2 linked regions of the Lytechinus pictus genome follow. The protein of the gene in region 1 purifies or fractionates together with the protein of each later gene. This does not show direct contact. Links are inferred from orthologs where the notes say so. Each region holds a gene or a part of one and is shown in the gene's direction. Other genes may lie near its edges.

Region 1 (7,684 bases):
GACAAATTTTAACATACGCGGTAAATAATTGTAATTCATACAGAAAATCTGCATAAGTCATGGGTTCAACAGATGGTTTCAAAAACCACCTTTGTGAATTTGGGCCTACATGAAATTGTCTGAAGCAAACCTACAAGTTAGTAGAGGAAGGGAAAGAGCACACAGCAAACTTACAAAGTCATCCACCCCATCCATGTTTGCCTAATCACCAGAAAGAAAAAAAAGTACCATGAAGAAAACAAAAGAAGATAGTATTAAGATTAAAGTCAATGAAACCATTCTTAGCATATTGAAAAAATGCCATGCTTACATACCAGAGTGGAGTCAAATTTAATAAGATACATGTATGTAAGATGAAGCAAAGTATACTTTCACATTTTGAAGGAAGAAGATGGGATAATATTTACATTTCAATATTAGGAAGTCCATCCAAAATGAAACCAATATAGTCACACAAAAGAAAAGATATAGAATATCAAAATGAAATAAGATGTACACTGTACATTTCTGACTTAAGCATGATTGTCATTAGAATACTAAAGGTTGCCGTTTTACAAAAAGGAAAGCAAAACATTCATGTTTTCTTCATATGAAATTAAAAAATGTATCAATTGGCATGCTTGGAAGTTGCAGTTTCAAGCGATTTAATCTGAATTGTCACTGATTTCATATTTTCTTATAATTGGATTTCGTTTTTTTTTGCAATAGTACATGCAGCATGTTTTTTATAGTACCATGCCATTGCTTCATGAGATTTGCAAGGAGACAGAATTTTCATTTGACATCATTGACATGTAATAAAGAAAGCAGTTTTTTTTCCTTTAGAGGGAAGAATAATAAAGGAAACATGCCATGCACCTCTTTAGTTGACATATTTTTTTTACAAAGGCCTTCTAGAAATCCCACAGCATTCGTTTCTTAGCAATACATCTGACACTCTGTAAATTGCCCATTTGGAATAATAAGAATCAATCAAATATCTTGAACCTAATTGCTGGTCAGCTTCCTGTACCAGAAAGTTGATTAGGCACAGCTCGATATGAAAAAAAACTCACTGATTGGCCAGGCAAGGTAGACCAGAAGAATCCCCTCCAATCAGGATCCTCAAAGATATACGGCAGGATGCGGGTGAGGAGGCGGGCTGCATTGAGTACCACCTGCTGGTCTCTAGGGGCGGAGCATCCAGACTCTGCAGCTGATACTAGCTTCTCGACAGCCTACAATAGAAATGGAAAATCAATGAAAAATGATTCAGTGCTTCCAAACCAACTTGATCAGTCCTGTATTTATGCACTTTTATACAGGCCTAAGAATACCTAATAAACTTGTTCACACCCAACTGAACTTTCAGATAATGTTCCAATTCGTTATGAGCAAGCAAGTCTATTGCATTCCTATACAAAGTACATATAACTAAGCCTGTAGGCCTATCTTGTCTCACATTTGAAGAACTTATCATTTGCTTTTACACTGCAAAAGAACTCTACACCTTGGAGAATTCCTAAGAAAGGTCTTGTAATTTTAACAAGTTCCTCCAAAGATATTTTCTTTCAGAGATATTACAAGTAATTTGCTTCACATTGGCAAAATAACTGGTATTATCTGATGGGTAGCATTACAAATGAACTGGTGAGTAGAGAACCTCATATTAATTTCCATTTTACCCAGACATACATGTAGTTACTAACAATATAATCACTAATTCAGTGTTGTTCTTCAGGGTATTTTATACAGGAACCTCTGGTCATCTCATCGCTTGTCTAGAACTTGATACATTTATTGTTCTTTGTTTTGTGTCGCTATATTCAAAGTGAAAATAGTTCCGTTGGTTTAATACAATCACAAGGCCCCTATTTAGAATTTCTTTATTAATCTTATCCAATATTATCAATCAAATGATTGTCGGATTGTGTTTTCAACTGTCAAAGTTATATGTTTCGACATTCTATTGAAAATGAAAACTTTTGGTGTACATATTAAAGCAAGTGTGGAAATGTCTACACTGCGGTTTACTGTTTTATCAGATGTAACCATACAGTGTTAATTATGGTTTAATCCGGGGGCCTCATTTGCCCCATTGGGTATGTTAAGTTCATAGGCTTCCAGTAAAAAAAAAAGAGGGAAAGCGGTAAATATTAAAACAGTACTCATTTGCACAATAATTCCTTACAAAAGTAAACTAATATAGAGATTAATCACACTACTCGGTGGATACAGTACTCGCCTATATAAAGTCATGATGCTACTTTCTAAATGCTGATTTTTGACTTTCTGATAGGTTTGTACTCCTCCTGGCCATGTGCATTGGGCCATGATATATTGTTTATGCTTGTGATATGTGCTATTAAAGGAACTGTCTCAAATACCACACAAACACCGATCCCTTCGACACTGGTAAATTTAAGCAGTGAGCTAAAAACTAAGTGGGGGCCTTATTTACCCCGAGGCCTTAATCAACACTCTCCCCTATTTGTTCAGAGACTAAGCTCAGAGATATACCTTGTAGCAGAGAGTGGCCAGATTAGATGGTGATTCCTCTCTGAGTGCTCTTATCTCAGCAGCTGGGATGAGTGCAAAGACATCGGTCACGCTGGTAACGCTGTCGGCCCAAAACTGGTCCCAGAAGGCATCATCTCCTGCCTCGACAGGCTGTCATATAATAGGAACAAAGCAAACATGGAGGACTAGAGAAAAATTCATAATCATGATTTAATTTTTTTTACAAAAAAATTGTAATTTACATTATTAATAAGCATGCTACGATTTTCACATTAAAAAAAATGAGAATGGATTCTTTGAAGGGCTGCACGATCATGATATTCCATATAAGCCTCAGACAACACATTTCCTTTATTAGGGTACATGATGTCAGAGCTAGTATAATGATGCATAAAACTAAGAACGGCGCATATATATCTCTGTGCACAAGATAAGATATCGAGATAAAAGGTATTCTGAAAATTCTTTTATCTTTGCTTTCTGTTAACTTCCTTGGAAAATACAATAAAATTTCGAGAGGTAGCCTGGGGCTTTTGTAACTCAATGCTGCATGCCATATTTCTCAGTCAACAATTTTTTTTTTGCTGCATCACACAAGAACATCTTGTTTTCCAAAATGAAACATTCTGAAGATATTACAGAGACCGATTGGCAGACTTTGCAGCAATTTAAAGATCTCATTCGAGATGATGAATCTTTTCAAAGTAAATATGCCTGGGAGAACAACCACATGTAACCAGACTATCTAAAGTGACGAGGGGCAAATAAGCTACAAGTTTACGTCTCTACATCCAACTTCCAAGTAAATCCAAATAAGTAAGTAAATGTATCTTAGCACAGTAGCGCACAAGCACAAGCGTCAGAGGCATAAGGGAAATTACGCCTCAGCCCTCATCATGTCAATAATGGGCTAGCCTAAACTTAAGAGTTTTTACAGAAGAGACGCTTCTATTGGTTGAACCCAAGCATAAAACAACATGATTTATTGGTTGACTTGATGATGAGATATTGCGCGTGTCGGAGATGAAATAGGGGACACGTCCTTAAAGAGATGAGTTTTTAAGATAATTTTCAGAATACAGATTAAAGATAATTTTTGCGAACTGTTAATGTGCTGAGTTACATTACAAGAAAATTTACATGAATACCACCCCATTACAAGAAAAGTTACATAAATACCACCCCAGGATTACAATTTTTGGCAGTCAACGTGATCTAGTAAATTAACTTAACCTTGCTTAAGGCCAAGGAACATTTAATGACATGCAACGTTAACTTAGATCTAACATTAGATCTAACCTTAGGCCTAACTAAGTCATTAATCAACCACATTTTGAATTAAATTCTGGAATGAAAAGAAATTCATGTTTAAAATTACATTTATTTAAAAAAAGTTAAATGTTATTTAGTGCACAGTGACACTCACAGACATCCCCCTCCCCCTTCATTCTGAGCTGAGTTTCGCTTCATAATGTTTTAATGAATGACATCCAACCTTAAATATCTTTAACAATTTAATTCTAAGTTACTAAGTTAGACCTCCGTCAGATGTGCAATATTTAATACGCTTCGACGTGGCGCGGCGTAGCACTTTTTTCATAGTACAAGTAGGATGGGGGGTCGGGTGTCCGGACACTTTATTATATTTTTGAAGCCTTCTTTTTTTGTCTTTGGATTACACTAAAAATATGAATTCAATAGTTAAAAATAAGTTATATTATTATTAATTATTATAATCATCTTCGATTTTGTTCTCTCTAATATTTCCTAACATTTTCTACTAAAAATTGATGAAACTTCGCTTGTAAATTTTTCCAAAAGACTTTCTAAAATTGATCGTCCGGACACACAACAACTGGGTATTATTACTAGTACTAGTAGTAGCTCTCTACCAGCTGTGAGCTCGTGAGTTGTCCATGATTAACATGTGCAGTGAAGTGCATGCATGTCGAGCTCGAGTGTTGTTGTAATTTTTGTATTGGCCGATTCTCGTTTACCTGTGTTTTTGTTGTCAACTGTACGACTGCTTTCCTAAAATTCAGCTTGGAGTCTGTCCCTCCCATCTCGATTGTCACAAATCTTGCTTCTCACGATTGCATCAATTAATGGAATAACATTTACTTGTACAAGTATTATTTCGATTCTTTCTCGATTTCGACGTAGCAGAAATCAACGTAGCTAGCTAGCTTAGCACGAAAACATATACGATGACGTCACGTAGTCGTAAATGTGAAAGGTCATTCGTTTCCGTTGACCTCATTAGTGGGCGGATACTTCTAACCGAGCGCAAAATCTTTCAGCCAATCATGAGCTACGACGCTCATAACGGACGTAAACACAAACGGCTGGCATGTGTATTTTCAATGCAAGCCAACGCGCTAAACTTGAATGAATGAATGATGCATCCGCTCAACTGTGCCTGATGCGATATGTGTAAATATTCGTACAAATTATACTTATAGTCCTTTTCTTTTCCTGAGTGCAGTACTTTGTCTTCTAAAAGATGAGGGGTAAGATAAACACACATTCTTTTTTTATATATGATTTGAAGTTGAATGTTTTATTTCAAGATTTGTTGAAATATTCTAACTTTTATAGTCAAAACTCTTATTTTAAATTGAAAGCCTCTTGATGCAGTCGTTGGTGGGAGGGCACGCCGAAGCTTCTGGCTGAGCGTTGAGCCGTTGACCGTTAATTCGTAGGCTAGTGTTGCGGTCGTCCATCCATATCCGCTGACAGCCGTCCAGGCTCATTTTTTTTTTGGTTTCGTTGTTTGTGTTGCCTGACGTGGCAACATGCACACCCCTCCCTACTAAGTAAAGAAACGATTTATGATGGGGGACCCAAAGCTAGCCAAGCCCAAGGGCAAAGCAAAGGCGATTTATCTTATTCTTAAGACAAGATCTGACTTAATGACAAAGACAAATTTGAATTCAGAATCTGATGGTGTTGATCTCAGAATCTCAGAAAGGGGTAATCCAGACATCGCTTCATTAGCAATAGCAGGTATCATCTAGTAGTATTGTCTAGGTGTGATGTCGCTTCAGTGCATGTGCAATTTACTCTGGTGAATGTCACTGAATGACACCTTTCGACTCGTTTCGAGGTATTTATTTGAAGGACTGTAGCTGTGTGAAGTGAAGTTGAGGTTTTTTATCCCCAGGACCAGGTAGCCAGGAGGCTCCTAGTCTAGAGAGTAAAAATCATTTACTAACGTACATGTTTACTCTACACAGAGCCAGGGATTTGATTGCATTCATCTGCACGTACCGCCAAAAAACCTCAAACTTTCGCCCCCGAGATTTCTACTTTTAAAAGATCTAGCCCTAATTAAATCATGTATATGGGATTCAATTTCATTTCCAATATTTCTACGATATTGATTTCATTTTTAAACAAGAATTCATTCTAAAAACGAGAAAAATGTTATGAAAAGACGGGGAAAAGTTGCCACCGTGTTTACGTCGCCATCTTGATTTCATTGTCTTTCGCTTGGCGACAGCAGGCAAACCGCGCATTAGCGTGCTGTCGCCAAGCGATGGGTCATGTTTATGGAGTAGAAGATAAGTCAAGTACCGGTAATCTTTTTTTTAATTTCAAATTATTCTAGTGAAATATATTAGGGGCGATTACATGTACCTCCATGAGTCTTCACATTTTCCAATGAATCAGTGACCAACATTCCATGTCAAATTCTTGAAATTACTGTCTTGTCACTGACATTGTCAGGATTTTCACCCGCCTGGACATAACAACTGCTTTGGTCAGCAGGCAGGACTAGGTCTGGGACTTGGATGTACTGTAGGTAGTGGATATTCAGTGAGAGCTTGAGTTGAATAAAGAACTTATTTCTTGGGCAAAGATTTCCTTGTTGAGAGACCCCTTTTCCATACAACGGCATTACTCTTTATAAGTACATGTATAATGATGTATTGACTTATCGTGATGAGTAATCTGTACTAGAATTTATTGATTTCATAATCAAATCCATGCATTGTAGCTGTTTTATAGCACATGAATAATCTTCTTCTTTTTTAATGTAATTTGTAGATACTTGTAGCCGTACATGTACCTTGCCTGCAAGGTCATCATCTGAAATGGCAAAACAGTCACCATCATCATCAAGGTCAACCAGTCTCCATGTACGGGTTCTCAGGAGCAACAGTAAGCTGCCAAAAACCATGCTCATCGATCTCCCAGATGAACTCCTCATTTATCTACTGAAATTCTTACCAATGTGTGATCTCCAGAATATGTATAGAGTAAGTATCGATTAGGATTATCTGATTTTCAGATTGTTTATTTTCCAATCTCTTTGAAAGAAAACTGCCTTCTTTTCTCTTCTGTTTTCTTGTCATGTACTTGGGACATGGGAGAGGGTGAAAAATACTGGTACCTTTTTTTAAATACAAATACAAATGTATTTCTATGTGATCAGGTTCGAGTGTCATAAAAATACTGGAAAAGTTACTTGTGACTTTTGGCTTGAGCAGGCAATCCAAATACGCTATTTAAACATTATGATTTTGTATAATTTAATACTTATGATCTGTTGGACCCATTATTAATTAGAATAATGCAGTCTCACCAATCAGACCACAGATTCTTAACAGTGAATCATTTTAGTGTTTTAAAGTATTTTGTATGATAATCTGCCAATCAGTTTTTTTTTTCATTCTTGCTCTAAAAATAAGTGCAAAATATGGTAACTGACACAATTAATTTTAAAACGTTTATTGTTGACAATTACAGATAAACAAACAATTCAAATGGCTGCTAGACTCTACCCCAAGGATATGGGCCAATGCAAGTGTAGTCGGAAGGTGGCCAACCAACTCAACTGAAATGGAATGCTTCAACAGGTAGGAATTTTGACTTACAGTCAGGCCTGTGTACAGTGTATCACAGTATACTGATCTCACAATGTTATGGGCCAAGGAATGCAAAGCTTGAGAAATTATCATATATATGTAGTTGATTTTTATAATTGATTGCATAATCATCAAAGCATTGTGAGTTTCATTCAAATGACTACTGATTCTAGTGACTAATCGATTTAATCATTACAAAAATCAATTTTTATTAAACAATAATATTGTTTGCCACTAGACTAGAAAGAGAAAGAGGGACATTATTTGACTTGTGTTTGCATTTCAGTTGTTATTCCATGAAAGAACTTTTCTAA
Region 2 (8,017 bases), on another chromosome or scaffold:
CTCTCCCATTTGGACACTGAAAATATACCCCAAAACATCTCTTTTTGCTCATTCTAATCATATGACAAACGATTCATCAATGATATAATGTTGTGAAACCTCTGTACTTGTCATCTCATAAAGGGAACACCTCACCTTGTGGTAGACTCTATAAAAGTGAGAATATAAGTGAAATAAGTACTAAAGTAATGAGGGAGTTGTACGTGTGTGATATCACAGATCTTGGTCGCATTGCCGATGGGAGGATCTACATGGCACTAGTGATCTCAATATTCGAATGCTCATAACTTTCTTATTATTCATTCAATCTTCCTCAAACTTTCAACAATATGTTTCTTTGATTTTTCTCTTTGATATGGATTCAGTTGGTTTCAAGGGTTTCATTCTCCTTTAATGAATTTAGATCAACAAAACTTTGAGTAAAATAGGACTAGCAATAAAAGAGTTATGAGCATTTGAATGTCGAGATCACTAATGCTATGGAGATCCTCCCATTGGCAATGCGACCAAGATCTGTGATGTCACACACGTACAACTCTCCCATTTGGACACTGAAAATATACCCCAAAACATCTCTTTTTGCTCATTCTAATCATATGACAAACGATTCATCAATGATATAATGTTGTGAAACCTCTGTACTTGTCATCTCATAAAGGGAACACCTCACCTTGTGGTAGACTCTATAAAAGTGAGAATATAAGTGAAATAAGTACTAAAGTAATGAGGGAGTTGTACGTGTGTGATATCACAGATCTTGGTCGCATTGCCGTTGGGAGGATCTACATGGCACTAGTGATCTCAATATTCGAATGCTCATAACTTTCTTATTATTCATTCAATCTTCCTCAAACTTTCAACAATATGTTTCTTTGATTTTTCTCTTTGATATGGATTCAGTTGGTTTCAAGGGTTTCATTCTCCTTTAATGAATTTTACACTTTCTGAAAAACAGTGTGAGCAAAGTAAACAATCTAATTAAGTCTCAGTGTTGCTTAGTGTTCCGACAAGGCCCTGGGAAGCGGGGGTTCGGTGTGTCGTGTATGTTATTTACCAGGCCGCATCCTCTCCTGGAAAATGAGGTTTACAAGCAACAAAAAAACACAAAAAAATGAAAAAATTTTATATTGCTCCCGAATGACACGGAGAGTTTTTTCTATTCATTTTCTCTTTTTTTTTGTGCTATACAATTATTTTTCTAACGACAATCCCCTGAACAAATTTCAACACCCTCTATTTAAAAATCTTTCCCAGGGCCCTTTGTTCTTATAGACAAAAAGAGAATCTAATAATCATGTCTATAACTAAGCGTAATAATACCGAATTAGGAAAGGACATTTTGGGCAGAATCATTGCTCCCCATTCTGTTACAAATATCATCCAGCCTTTAGGAATGTCAGTTTTTAAACAATCACATTTCAATAATCAATTCGGATTTTTCTTTCTTTTTTATTTGTATTTTATTGATTTTCACCAATAATTACAGATCACATAATACCTGTTGAAAAAAATAAAACTAATTCAAGATTTAAGATTTGTTGAACGAACATGTTGAACATGACGTGTAATCGCAGCTTGAAAAGCTGAATTTATAGATGTTGCATTAAAACAATAACGAAATCAACAAAAATAATCAAGAAATTACATTAACAATTACAATATAAATTTAAGATATTACGGTAAAACATAATAGCAGTAATGTAAGATAACAGGGGCGGCGGAGCGAAGTTGAAATTGGGGAGGGGGGCACATAGAACAAAGGCATCTTTTCTTTCAAAAGGGCACTATCTTGAACATGGCTGTGTGCACAATTTTTTTTAATCGAAAGCGAGGGAGCTTAATAAGGCGCTTTTGCATTTTGTTAAGTGAAATTGATGGAGTTTGTGCATACTTTTGGTTTTGTGAAAATCTGCAGTAAAAAAATTGAGTTTTCTAAATTTCGGAAGGGGGGCAACTGCCCCTAACCCCCACCCCCCCCCCCGCTACGCACGGCCATTATCTTAAAACAAAGACAATTATTGATATTCTGATGTGAAACTGGATAATTCAAGTACATGTACATTTTAAATAAAGAACATGCAGGCTATCGCGCGTGTTGTAGATGTAGACCTAGAATCTGGGCATTCTGAATACATTTGTTTAATGGAACGTTATGGAATACACGTAGACAATATGAACTTTGCAAATCAAACAATGTGACCACGCAGCGTGAGCTTAAAATGCTGATATATGTAGACCATAAAACGGACATTTTACAGAGCACTTAAATTTGTAAATGAAAAAAAAATTATGAAAGCTCGATATCGAACTAAAATATGTTTTGCATATTGACTTCAAAACTTGCTCCATATCAGCCTATTGAGCAAGATATGAATCTCATTGAACAGGCAATTTTGGCGCGAAGCGCCAGCAAAATTTTTATTTAGTAACATAAAAGATTTGTTTTTTTAATTACATTATTTCATTCACTCGTCTTCCTCCTCTTATTTTCTTCTTCTTTTTTTCTTCTGTCTTTCTTCTTCTTTTCCTTTTTCTTTTTTTCGTTTCTTCTCCCTTTTTTCTTTCCTTTTTTTTTTTTGCTCTGCCAATTTTTTCTGGGGGGGCACACCAAATCTCAGGGGGGGGGGGCACGTGCCCCCCCCCCAGGCCCCCCCCCCCCGTAGCTACGCCACTGAGGCGAAAGGGGCACATGTTCATGAGGGGCACTTTTCTTTAAAAAGGGGCACTGATTCGAGAAAGGGCACTTAAAAGAAGGCACTGAGAGCACAACTGGGCGTTGTGGCGTGCGCCTGTATCCAAGCTATGTGGGGGAAGTTACAAATTGATGCAGAGGTTCGAGGTTCGAGCCCTGGTCACGTCTTTCGGATGGTGACGTTAAAGGTCGGTCCCAGACGTAAATAATCATATCTGATTGATACACGTCTGACAAAACTCAAATACACACTGCTTGCTCAGACATAAAACGGATCCTTAGGTGAAAGGGGCATACAGAGCACGTTCGTGAGGGGCACTCTACTTGGGTAAAAGGGGGCACCGATACGAGATATGGCACTTGGAAACGCATAAAACGGCTCCTCTTCTGAAAGGGGCACAGTTACGTTATGGATTTTCATTTTATTTCATTACTACACGTTCATGGGGGGGGGGGGCATTTTTCTTGCGTAAAAAAACGGCACCTTTTCAGTGCTTCGAAGAGTGGGGGCACTGAGCCCCCATGCAGGCGAATCGCCGCCCCTGTGAGATAAGACTTGAGCTATGAAACTATATTTTACCAAGAAATACCACAAAATGAGACTGTAAGTTTGCCCTTGAACAACAAAGAAAATAATAAGAATAACATTGTTATAATAAGAGAAAAAAATCAGTGTCATTTCGTTCAATGAACGAGCATTTTGGTATTAAATTTCCTGATAAGGACAATATATGAATATACATGTACATACATAACATGTAGGGGGAGGGGGCCTGACATATATCTACTGATTTTATACGCACAGGCACACTATGAAGGCCAAGTAGCAATATTCAAAGAGGAAGTTCTGATTGGTAACAGTAACTGTGTCTACTGATTGATGGTAGAGATGTGTGGTCTTGTAATTGAAAAAATACCCCCCCCCCCAAAAAAAAAAAAAAAAAAAAAAAAATGAGACTGTAATATAGTTTTCCCTAAAATATATCAATTATTCTGAGAAGTAACGTTAGCCTCAAACAGTGCCCATATAACTTGCCATATCGCATATTTGAAATAATATTTTTGTAATGCACAGAAGGTCTCTGTTTTATGATATACCCTGATATGCAGACATTTTAAAATATCATGTATCTATTACCCCGTCTACTACGCACACTCAGTTTGTTTAAGGACGTTCCACAGTTAAAGTGAAATCCATGTCATTTTCATCAAACTTTGCACATAGATACTTTAGAACCTTAATATTCGAAATATGCAAAAATTAACATAGGTCCATGTGCTTGATTTTTTGCTATAGAGCTTCAAAGTTCACCCAAATTGATGTTGTTAAGAATTGCGCATTCAAAAGAATTTGGCATTTTTAGACCTCGCAAGATTACTACAATGAGTTTAAACCTGTATTACTCAGTCAAAATACATGAAAAAGTCATCAAATTTCGCAAGAGAGTTAATAATTGTATCGTTAGAATGGAGAATCTATTTATAGTGCTATTTGTTTGCAGTTTTAAGTCTAACAGCACTGTCAGTTCTTAAAATGGCGTAAAAGATAACAAAAACCCAATCTAAAGAAATGTGAAATTTCAATAACATACTACAAAAGTACAATAAATGCTGCACTTTATTCAAAATCCATGTCATTTTCACCAATATTTGCAAAGTTGTAGAGGAAGGTATACCTAAGAGGTATAAACATTAAAAAATGGGGGTTCATGTGCTTGTTTTTAAACTATCAGCATTTTTTTTTTGGAAATGTGCTTTATTAAACACAAAAAATGTGCCGAATGCTTTGTATCTATGTGAAGAAAAAATCAAAACCACTCTACCATTTATTCAAACTCGGGGACTAATTCGTGATTCTTGGCAGCACTGCAGAGTAAAGTATTTTGAAATTGTAGAGATGATTTTTAAAATGGTCCATGGAATAATTCAATTTTTTAGCTTCATAAGATAATGCATCGGATCTGCAGTTAGAGTGCAGATGATGAGAAAAATCAGCTCATACCCAGAGCTAATTAATCACCTGTTCATCCATTGTGACGTCAGCGCGCAGAGTGTAAAGTATGCGCAGATCATAATGCACACAAACATAACTGTGGAACGTCCTTAAAGGTACTGCAATATGCAATACAAGAGGTGCATGCTATGGGTTGTTGGACCGACCAATCAGATGACTCGTTTGGGGACGCTAGATCAATCAGCTGACTATTTCGCGCGGAACTCGATTTCGCGGGAATTGGAAGCCAATGCAAGTTACACGTACTTAGCGGAAGCCGAGGGTGGAAAGCTTGTTGTTGCTGCTGTCAAGCAAAATTATTCTGGAATTGTGTTTTACGCAAACTGAGGACTCTTTTTTTTTCTTTCAAAAGTGAGTACTGGTAGTAGTATTATTGCATGCCACTTTTATCAAGTAAATTAGCTGAAATGTGAAAATCTCAAATGAGTACGGTACCCAAGTTTGCCCTGTCTAACAACTGTTGTCGACTGTTGTTATGTTAGCTACATGTAACTTGACGAAGCGATGCTTCCCTCGGATGGAGTGGGTCTGCGCCCGTCGAGACTTCACGTCGACCAGAGGCCGGCCGGTGTGTGTGTGATATCGTGATATGGCAAGAGAAAGTTCTATTCTCACAGTTATTATGTTTTTCAGGTTTTTAATCTTGTTTGATAAACCTTATTGAGTCATTTAACATTTTTTAAATTTTTTTGCTTACAAGTGGATTTCCATTTTATGAAAATATAATAGATCTAGGCTAGGCCTAGATGATTAAATAGATCCTAAGTATCGGCATCGCTAATTAGATTCGCAATGCGGATTGCGGGGTTTGCAAATGGGGCCGTAAGCTAGTTCTGCGGACTGTCCGCTAGTGCGCGTGCGCAACGGCCCCCTTTGCGATCCCATGATGCATTGCGAATCTGATTAGCGATAGAGCCTATACCTTATTCTTGCATTTCAAACTGCAATTTCACCAACTAACCATATAGGCCTAACATAACATAAAATAACTGCCTGGAAAATCTATTGTCGGAGGAGTTTTATAAACATGTTATGATTTTTCTCGGTCTTCCTCCTTAACAGAAGGAAGACTCCCATCCGACTTAGGCTTAGTCAGGAGGCTCCTGGAGATTAATGTCATATCACTGACTAGACAGGAATGACCGTCGTTTATGGGGATTTATTCAACAATTTCTGTCATTTTACTACATACATGTATAATCCCCATTCACCGAAGGTAGTTCGTTAGTGTGAGCTCACATGTGTTATCACGTCGCCCACTTCGGGGGATTAGTTAGTCTTGAGGACTCCATGATGATGTTTTTTTATATATTTTGACATATACTTCTTCATCATGGAGTCTTGACACTCTTCCCATAGACGCATAAGAGACTGACCAAAACAAAGATGGATTTCCCTAGGAAATCCATCTTTTAAGATAAAAATCACGTAAATGGTGGTGATTTTATTTATTTTTACACCTTCCTATGCCTAATGCGTATGAAGGTTTAAAAAATTGGTTAATAAAAATGTTAAAAATTGAAGGTTTCTTACCCGACCAATCTCGTGTAGATCCCTCGATCCATTTGTCAACAAAGCAAATACAATACATGTAGGTCTCACCCTTGAACCGCTTCGTTATGACGTAGCTACGATTAGCGATGTTACAAAATTCCGTTTTGAAGAACAATTTATAGGCCTAGATAAAATTTATTATTTAACAAATATTAAAATTTAATACGTGATTATAAATAATTAATAATTATTTGTTTTGGTCAGTCTCTTATGCGTCTATGGGAAGAGTGTCAAGACTCTATGATGAAGGAGTATAAGTCAAAATATTTTTAAAAAAATCATCATGGAGTCCTCAAGACTAGGATTAGTACTGTCTAGACTAAAATCTAATTTACAGTCTAAGGATTTAGAAACTACCTAAATAATGTCTTGAATATCTAAAGAATCAAGACATATGAAAAAAAAAAGATTAAAAGGTGTGGAAATAGTACGTTACCGATGTTTACTTGTCTTGGTCTCGAGAATCACCCCCAAAATGGCAGCCAAAATATGAAATATTAATTAACGAACGGAGAGGGCGTCAACAATTTACGAATGTGATATCGATATTGCTTTCGATATTATACGATCTGCTCCATATGCGAGCCAAACCGCTACAATCACAGGTAGCAGACGACATTAGATATATCAAGACATTAAAAAGTTATAAGGATAGTGACGTCATTCAAGATGGCAACTTGCAAGAAAAATCATCAGCGTAGGTGAAAATGTCTAAGATGAAAGATTTCTCAATCATCCAAAGGATTTTTTTTTCAATAACTCCGGTCCAAGGGAAACCATGAAACTGTAAATTTCGCTTAAAAACAGTTTCAAATCGCGACCTATAAAATGTTAGTTCAGTATCATGAGTATACCACTGTCTATACGTACGGGCCAACAACTCTTCAGTCTATGTATTGGTGAGTGAAGCCAACGTAGTTCAGCGGAACAACCAAAATACAGAGACTGAAGCTTTTGGTCTAATCACTGACATGCTTAATCTTCACGGAGCCAGGGACGGGATGCCATTGCACTACACCAGCGCTCAACACTGGCACTGGTCCGACGGTCCCAGACCAGTAAAAATTGCTGTCGGGCCAGTAACTTTTCAGAAATAGCCAGATTTACTGGTCTGACATGACCAGTAAAATATATATCAAACTAATATAAATGATATTTTCTCCTCTTTAGTAAATAATATAAATGGCTTTGGCATCTTTAAAGTGTCTTTCTAAAACTGTGAAATGGTTCGCATGAATTATATTCTGTGTGTGTATGTGTGCACTGTTTGTTAGTAAAAAAAAAAATTGGGGGGGGGAGGCAATAAAAGACAGCAAAATAAACAAGTCTTTATTTGAATTTATTCATGTTTTTCTTTATTTTGGGGACCAGTGAATTTTAGGTTTGGACCAGTAAAAAATGGAAAAACTGGGTATCTACTGGTCCGAAAAGAACAGGTTGGACCAGTAGAAAAAGAGGGTTAGTGTGGAGCCCTGTCTACACGCACCAAGTATTTTGCCAACAATAAAGTTGCTCAGAAACACACATTTTCTTTAGGGTTTTGAGCCCAAACTTATGTTAATGGGCTACAATATCATTTGGACCCTTTTTTATAGATAATATTATAAAACATGCAATGAATGAAAATATTAAAAGTAGAGAAGCATTACTCAGTCTGTTATAGTCGCCATCTTGCCATCTTTGTTATCGTAGCCTAGCTACAAGCCGCGTATGGAGGCCAACAATATCATGAGATAAAAAAATACTTGCATCGGCCG

The links.
Region 2: the proteins of cyclin-F-like (region 1) and cell division control protein 6 homolog purify together in Homo sapiens (affinity purification with western blotting; 4 studies listed by BioGRID and IntAct, with this or other methods). This does not show direct contact. The link is inferred for Lytechinus pictus from reciprocal best matches to the Homo sapiens genes CCNF and CDC6.

The regions. Positions count from the first base shown.
Region 1 is NC_087254.1:27,029,875-27,037,558, reverse strand, and holds the start of cyclin-F-like, read left to right. Parts: upstream 1-4,422; 5' UTR 4,423-4,496; coding exon of another isoform or gene 4,497-4,562; 5' UTR 4,563-5,002; coding exon 5,003-5,009; intron 5,010-6,549; coding exon 6,550-6,761; intron 6,762-7,251; coding exon 7,252-7,361; intron 7,362-7,684. Other genes in the region: protein HID1-like, read right to left, coding at 175-201, 1,056-1,217, 2,500-2,649, 4,497-4,562. UniProt on the Homo sapiens protein: Substrate recognition component of a SCF (SKP1-CUL1-F-box protein) E3 ubiquitin-protein ligase complex which mediates the ubiquitination and subsequent proteasomal degradation of target proteins.
Region 2 is NC_087245.1:25,571,269-25,579,285, reverse strand, and holds the start of cell division control protein 6 homolog, read left to right. Parts: upstream 1-4,944; 5' UTR 4,945-5,295; coding exon 5,296-5,298; intron 5,299-8,017. UniProt on the Homo sapiens protein: Involved in the initiation of DNA replication. Also participates in checkpoint controls that ensure DNA replication is completed before mitosis is initiated.